2 linked regions of the Caenorhabditis elegans genome follow. The protein of the gene in region 1 purifies or fractionates together with the protein of each later gene. This does not show direct contact. Each region holds a gene or a part of one and is shown on either strand. Other genes may lie near its edges. The genes, in order: perm-4 and mtcu-1.

Region 1 (3,924 bases):
GTCTAAATCAAGTTATCTATCAAGCTACAGTAACCTTACAGTCCGTTTTTCCTAGTTCCAACAGAACCAACAGTAACGCTTACCTTCTCAGGAGCCTCGGTGCTCACAGCGCAGGTGACAGCGGCGCAAAGTGCCAGAGACGCGACGATCCAAGTGGTGGAAAACATGATGATGATCGGAGCCAAGATGCTTCGCCGCTTTTATACTTGAGATCCGCCAGAGATATGGAGGCGGGAACTCGGCATTGTAGTTTGAGGGGAAAACGTTAGGCGTTGGATAAAAAACAAAAAGGTTTGGAGCGCAAAAATGTTTGCTACGGAACCTGGAATTAAATCTCACAGCTGTGGTAACTGAGCCAACAAGTCAAAAGGCTCCAATACATGGTGAATCACTCGGACTTGATCAACTGGAAAAATGTTCCTTAACAGTTTTTCTACAGTGTTCTAGTTCAAAATGTGTTGATTTTCTCAAAATACACTTTGCTAAAAGATACACAAATTAGTTCTTTGAACCCCGCTGGATCTCAGACACATGTTGCAACACATCCTTAGGTCACTTTTTTTTCGACCGACTATTTTTTTCAGCTTTTCCATTTTCTTTTTTCTTCGCTGCTCAATCCATCACACATTCCGCTGGGCTCTTTTTCCTGCCGGCCGCAGCCGCCGCCCACCTGATTGCAACATGTTATATGAGAAATGGGATGATTGAGTGGGCTTGGAATTTCAGACATTTCAGATGATTTCATATGGAGCAACTCGTGATGGGTGAAAGTGCAATTGAATGAGAATGGAGAAATGTGCAAATACCTGGAATTTGGGCATGAAATAGATAATTAACGTATTATGTGAAAAATTTGTCTGACAAGGAAAGTAAGTTAATCTAGTCCCGGACTTCGAATCGAGACGTATGTCATTTGAAAGCTTATGGTTAGCCTAGATCACCGCAAAAATTTCAGATTTTTGGAAAAAAATAAAAATTTCCAAAAAGCTTCCACACTGTTTGTTTGACCCTAAAGACCCCCAAAAACAATTTTTAACCGCTCTAGCCACTTTTAAGGCCATTTACTTGACCTAGAATTCAGCAAAAAAATGCACTGGAGCACTTTCAGATGGCGCTTTCAGGGGTTCAGAGTTGAGTTCCGCCGCTGAAATTTTTTTGGTGATCTAGTCTAAACATAAGCTTTCAAAGGCATATGTCCTGATTCAAAGTCCGGGACTAGATTGACTTCCTTTCCTTGTGAATTGAAAGCTTTGGAGTGATTTATAGTGTTCCTAATGGATTTCTCTATGGATTTGCCAATAAAATTTCAACAATTTACATATCAATGAGCAAATTGCAAACACGTAAAATATGCATTACATAGTTTTACAAAGTTTTGTAATAAATTGATATTTATAAAAATACATAAGAGGGATACGAGCTGCTGAACAAAAATGCTGATTATGGTGCATTGAGAGTAGTTTTATTGTAAAATTTTGGCAGTAGGTTTTACATGCATTATTTATGCTTCAGATTCCCTTCTTTTTGGTGCATCGATGAAAAATTTACTGATCAACTTTAACAGTTCATATCTTCGTAGCCTTTGGTTTTATCAAAAAATTATCAACTGGCAAGTTATTTATTATTACTTTTTCTATAACTGTCTAGTTACAATTTTTTTGATATCTTGAAAATTAGCCGAGATATGGTGCAAATCTATCGATCATCTTTTCAATGTTTCCTCTTTTTTCCCCGTTCCATCAACTCAGACATTTCTACTTTCATCTTCCTCAAGCTTTTCCTCTTGATTTTTTTTTCTGTAGGCGGAGCCCATCCCATGTTCCCCCCGAACTATAAAAGCATGGCTCCGCCGACAAATCCATCATTCGATCGCTTTTCAGAAATGAAAACCGTTCTTCTTCTCACAGTCGCCTCGCTGGCCGCCGTCCTCGGTGCAAAGGTATATGGTTTTTTTGGATTTCCGCAATTTTAGGATAATCTGAAACATTTTCTGCAGCCAACACCCACCGAAGAGGTCAAGTCAGAGGCCGCTGCTGGTCGCTACGGCGGTCGTCCATCGTATGGAGGAGGAGGTTATGGAAATGGAGGAGGATATGGATACCCAGCATTCGGACCAGGATACTGGCAGCCACTTATTCAAGATCGTGAGTTCGTGAAAATTCAAATTTTAAGAGCTATAGTAATTTGGCAATAGAGCGCATTTGCGTAGACCTAGTTATGATTATACTTGTTTGAACCGCAATAGCCAACTTATTTCAAAAATGTAACATTTTTTGGGAATCATCAAAAAATTGACTTATTCATAGGTAGTTTTGTCAATTTTCAAATTTTCGAAAAATTTTGAAAAATTCATAAATTTCTCAGTTTTCGAGATTTTTCAATAATTTTTAAATCAAAATTAAGCTAGTTCTTCAAATTTTGTTGCAAAAATACTGTTTTTTTTTTTCAAAAAATCTGTAGAACTTAGGCCAATTTATCAGAATTAGAATTTTTGAAAATGTTTGAAAACCTGTAACTTTTCCAGTTTTTGAGATAATTGTTTGATTTTTATGTCAAATTAAAGATTAATTTTTTTTAAATTTTTTGGCAAAATTAACTGCGTTACTGTAGTATTTATTTAGATTAAATTTAATCTAGTTGGTGCAGAATTTCAAAAAAGCTACAATTTTCAAAAAATTTCATTGAGTTTAATGCCAAATTGAAGCTTAAATTTTATATTTTGAAAGAAATTGAAATTCGGTAGAAAACACACTTTTCCTAGGTTACGATAGCTTCCATTATTTTTTATACAAAATTCAAAAATTTACCCTTAAAATGACACAAAAACCATCCCAAAATCTCAAAAATTGAGAAAGTTATAGATTTTCAAAAATTTTTGAAATTTTGGACTTTTTTTTTTGGAAGAGTCAAATTTTATTGCTATTAAATTTTTTCGACAATTTTTATCGAAAACTAATTTTTCTTGAAAATTCAAAAATTTACCCTCAAAATACCACAAAAACCATCCCAATATCTCGAAAATTGAGAAAGTTATATAATAGATTTTTGAACATTTTCGAAAATTCATAACTTTTTTAGTTTTCGAGATTTTTTATTGAATTTATTGTAAAATTAGAGCCAATTTTTTAAAATTCTGTAGAACAAACTGATTTGAGTCAGGAATTTTTTTTGTCAAATTAACTAAAATGGTTTTTTTCTAAAATTTTCGAAAATCTACAACTTTTCCAGTTTTTGAGATATTTTATCAGTTTTTAAGTTAAATTGAAGCTGAAATTTTGAATTTTAAGATGAAAAATATTTACAGGCTTCGTATGCGACCTCGACGCCTCCGTGCTCCTCGTCGTCGACTCTGTCCGCCGCCATCATCGCCACCCACAGCCATACTACGGTGGAGCCCCATCCGTCCCAGCTAATCGTGCCGTTCGTGTAAAGTGCTCCGAAGTTGCTACCCATGATGAAGATTCCTGTAACTTCTGCTGCCAACAGACCGCCCGTCGTGACACTTCCCTTCCCAACGATCAACTCTTCGGATTCTTGGCTATTACCAAGGATGATGATGATGAGACATTCAAGAGATCCAAGAGAGGAGCTGATGATGATGATGATAATGATTCGGATTCTGATGAGAAGGACGGAAAACATGGACGTGGAAGATTCCATAAGGTTGACTCTACCTACTTGTCAGAGGCCAACTGGGAGCCAAAGAAATATCATAAGAATGTCAAGTGCGTGTGCTGTGCTCCAAGATCCTCTCCAGCTGCTCAGGTGGGGAATATTTTAAGGACTATTTTTTTTTGTTGGGAATTCAGTGATTTTGCTTTAATCTGGCTCAAAAATTACAAAAAAAATGTTGAAAAATGAGGAAGTTATAAATTTTCAAAAAACCGCGGAATTTCGATATTTGAAGATTTTGGCCTACGAGTC
Region 2 (3,924 bases), on another chromosome or scaffold:
GCCGATTTGCCGGAAATTTCAATTCCAGCAATTTGCCGATTTGCCGGAAATTTCAATTCCAGCAATTTGCCGATTTGTCGGAAATTTCAATTCCAGCAATTTGCCGATTTGCCGGAAATTTCAATTCCAGCAATTTGCCGATTTGCCGGAAATTTCAATTCCAGCAATTTGCCGATTTGCCGGAAATTTCAATTCCAGCAATTTGCCGATTTGCCGGAAATTTCAATTCCAGCAATTTGCCGATTTGCCGGAAATTTCAATTCCAGCAATTTGCCGATTTGCCGGAAATTTCAATTCCAGCAATTTGCCGATTTGCCGGAAATTTCAATTCCAGCAATTTTCTGATTCGCCGGAAGTTTTCAATACCGACAAATTGTCGATTTGCCGGACATTTCTATTCCGGCAATTTGAAAAAATGTATTATTGAAAAGCTCGTACGATATCATAAGTTTTAATGAAATTTTTAAAAATCCCTATAAATCTTTTTTTTTCCTTTTTTTTTTAAGTTTTTTTTTCCAAAAATTCCAAATCTCGAGGGATTTTTTTGTTTTTTCAAATTGCTTGCGAACAATATAAAATTCCAATTTTTCTCACTTCAATACCTTATTTCAATAGCTCGAACTCCACCACGCATTTGACCAAATGCCGCATTTCGTTCTTTTTCGGTTCGAGATTTAATTAGCCGATCGATTCCTCGAACCTCGGAAATGCTCAATTTTCCGTTGTGAAATGCTCTGTAAATTAACTAAGAGTTATTATAGAGACCCAAAATGTGCATTTAAATGCATTCAAAATATTTTGAAACAGATGTGCAAGCGCGCTCAACTGCGGAAAGTTTGGAATTTTTATTCGGCGGCAAAACCAAAAACTCTAATGTTATTTTGTTTTCATGGTTAAATGAAAAATTAAAGCACTTTTGGACATTTTTTCAACATAAAATTAATTAATAAACGACAGGAAACATAACAAAAATAACGAAAACTTATTGAAAACGTTCGAAATTACGGTTTTGCAGCAGCCAAAACCTAGCGAGACCCAACTTTTAGCCGTGGAGCGCGTTTTAACCAGGGGTGGACGGCAAACAATTTTTCCGGCAAATTGGCAAATCGGCAAATCAGCAAATTGTCGGAATTGAAATTTCCGGCAAATCGGCAAATTGCCGGAATCGCCGAATTTGTCGAAAAAAATTTGCCGAACGGCAATTGCTGCCCATCCCTGGTTTGAACCCCGATTTTTGAAAATCGTATGCTAATAATAACCTCCTCGTGAATTCTCCTCGCTTCGCTTCTCGAACATTTTGAATTCCAGCCAAACATGAGGCAAACTTCACGGCCACGGCCTGACTTCCATGTAGAAAAAACTCGGCTGTGTCTTCTCCGGTAAACGTTTTCGGGCCGGGAAGATATACCGCCATTGCTTCATCGATGATTTTGCTCTCTGAATCGTACAATTTCGTGTATTTCATCGTTTTCGGCTTCCAAACTTTTCGACGGCTCAGCTGGCGGAGTACGGGGAGGCTTTGTGATCCTGGAAAAAATACTGTGAATACTGTGAACAGTAAGCTCAGAAAGCCTTTTTTTGGGGGGGGGGGGGGTTTCGCAAGAGCATCGTACGAATTTTTTCAGAGATTTTTATATTGTTTATGGCTATTTTGGCAGAAATTTTTTCAAAATGAACCATTCGTAACCTAATGGAATTTTTTTTTTCAATTGTTCTGAAAATTAACCTGAAACGCGGAACATCGCAATTGCGCTTGGCAATGTGCCAGACGATAGGGCGAAGATTGTCGACATTTTCTAAATGCCTGAAAAAATTATTCTTTTCCAATTAAAAAAAAATTTGATTACTCGAAAGGTTCTTTTTTTTAATTTCAAAATTTTCACGATCTTAAAAAAATGTTTGAAAATTTAATAAAAAACAGGATCCGTGACAATTTTTCTGGAAAGAAACCGAGATTTTATGAATATATAACTTAAATTTGAGAGAAAAAAGTTATTTATTAAGCATTCAAAAAAAACCCCGTAATTCGATATAATTCAAAACTAAAACAATTAATTATTAATTACACAAAATCTTAATTTCAATTGCTCTTCACATTTCTTCAAATCAGGAATAATCCATTTCGAATCACTCAAATACTTTAAAATCGTTGGTGGCAGAGGAGCTGTTTTGGGTGTCGGTGGTTTTTGTTGACTCGTTTTCAGGGTAAATCGACAGAGGTACTGTAGTGATGGTAGAAGCTCTCGTTTTGTGAGTGGACGTGTTAAATTGACACGCGCTGCTTCGGCTTCATGTCCACGTCGATAGTGGAGCATTTCTTGTTGTCCTGTTAGGGATTGCTGAAAAAAGTTTAGTGTTTTTTTCCGAAAAACTACGATTTTTTTTGATTTTTGAAACATTAAATTATTTTTTTGCTTGAAAAACTCAGTTTTTTTCGGATTTTTGAAAAAAAAACTAATTTCTGAAAAAACTGAACTATTTTCTTTCGGGAATGTGGTTTTTTTTGTGAACAAAAATGGTGATTTTTTAATTTTTTTCTGCAAAAAAGTGAATTTTTTTTAGAACAATCGATTATTTTTCTCGTGATTTTTTTTTGGTTTTTCGAAAAAAAAAGGATTTTTTCTCGATTTTATGAAAAAAAATGGTTGTATTGTGTTTGATTTGTTTTTCAATTTTAATTTTTAAAATTATGTTCCGAAAAATTTTTTTTTGATTAATACTCTTTTTTAATTTCTAATTTTGAGAAAAAAAGGACATACTTTCGGAAAATTTGAATTTTTTTAGTTTTCGAATTTTTTAAAAAGAAAAATAATTATTTTCACTTAAAAAAAATAGTTTTTTTCCGTTTTTCGGAAAAATAATTTGCTTTTAAAAAAATATATTTTCGATTTCCGGAAACATTTTGGGAAAATTTCGATTTTTTTTAACTCTTCGAAAAATATTTTCGACCTTTTTGGCCTGTCACAATTTTTTTTTAAAGTTTTACTCTTTTCCGATTTTTTTAAAATCAAAAATCATAGATATTTTTAAATGTACTACATACCTCTAAACTTCTCTCAATAATTTCCACAAGATTCCAATAGTCACGTGAGACGTATGGCTGCCGACTACCCAAATTCCGTCGTGAATCTTCAAGTGACAAGCGCGAATGATAGACTCTATCTGAAATTATATTTATTTGGAAAAAATTGATTTTTTGAAAAACAATACCTTGAAAATGATAAGAAACAGTGAAAAGATGAGTTTCACTTCGACTGTCTCGAATTAAAAAATATCCGATTGGGCACAAAAGGAGCAGCCGTTCTGCCCATTTCCAGTCCAAATCTCCCCAATACCTGGAATAAAATAGGCATATTTAAATCTTTTTTCAGTTATTTTATTGTTTACCAATCACAATCGTAAAGATCAGAACAAATCACCTTGTTGGAGGGCATAGGAGCATTGAAGGAAACTTTTGTTACTGAAAATAGTTTCAATCTTAACAAAATTAATTGAATTTTAAAATTGAAGATTGTCGATTTACGGAAGTCGTGTACTCCACGAGGAGAAGATTATGATCCGATTCTTTCCGAATTTAATGTTCAAATCGCAATTATATCTCTTTTTCAAAAAACCGTCGCTGTTTCCAGGCGTGGGCGCCATATATTATTAAATCAGCAATTATTTTGCATGAAAATGGAAATTCCCGGCAAATCGGCAAATTGCCGTAATTGAAAGATTCCGGCATATCGGCCAATCGACAAATTTGTTTGAATTTAAAAAAGAAGCCAAAATCCAAAATTTAAGCAAAACATGCAATTTTGACCAAAACCATTGATTTTTCACTTATCCTCGGGGAGTACACGAGCTGCGTAAATCGACATTGTACAGTGTTAGGGGTCGAGATATTGAAAGATTTTTAATCTTTAAATTGAAAAAAAGATT

The links.
Region 2: the proteins of perm-4 (region 1) and mtcu-1 fractionate together in Caenorhabditis elegans (co-fractionation; one large-scale study listed by BioGRID). This does not show direct contact.

What each region holds. Positions count from the first base shown.
Region 1 is NC_003282.8:1,123,044-1,126,967, reverse strand, and holds the start of perm-4 (PERMeable eggshell), read left to right. Parts: upstream 1-1,860; 5' UTR 1,861-1,882; coding exon 1,883-1,939; intron 1,940-1,996; coding exon 1,997-2,144; intron 2,145-3,304; coding exon 3,305-3,765; intron 3,766-3,924. Other genes in the region: perm-2 (uncharacterized protein), read right to left, coding at 84-167.
Region 2 is NC_003279.8:14,773,204-14,777,127, forward strand, and holds the start of mtcu-1 (TrmE-type G domain-containing protein), read right to left. Parts: upstream 1,805-3,924; 5' UTR 1,794-1,804; coding exon 1,727-1,793; intron 1,528-1,726; coding exon 1,260-1,527; intron 735-1,259; coding exon 603-734; intron 1-602. Other genes in the region: F39B2.5 (SH2 domain-containing protein), read right to left, coding at 2,052-2,339, 3,044-3,162, 3,211-3,335, 3,388-3,434.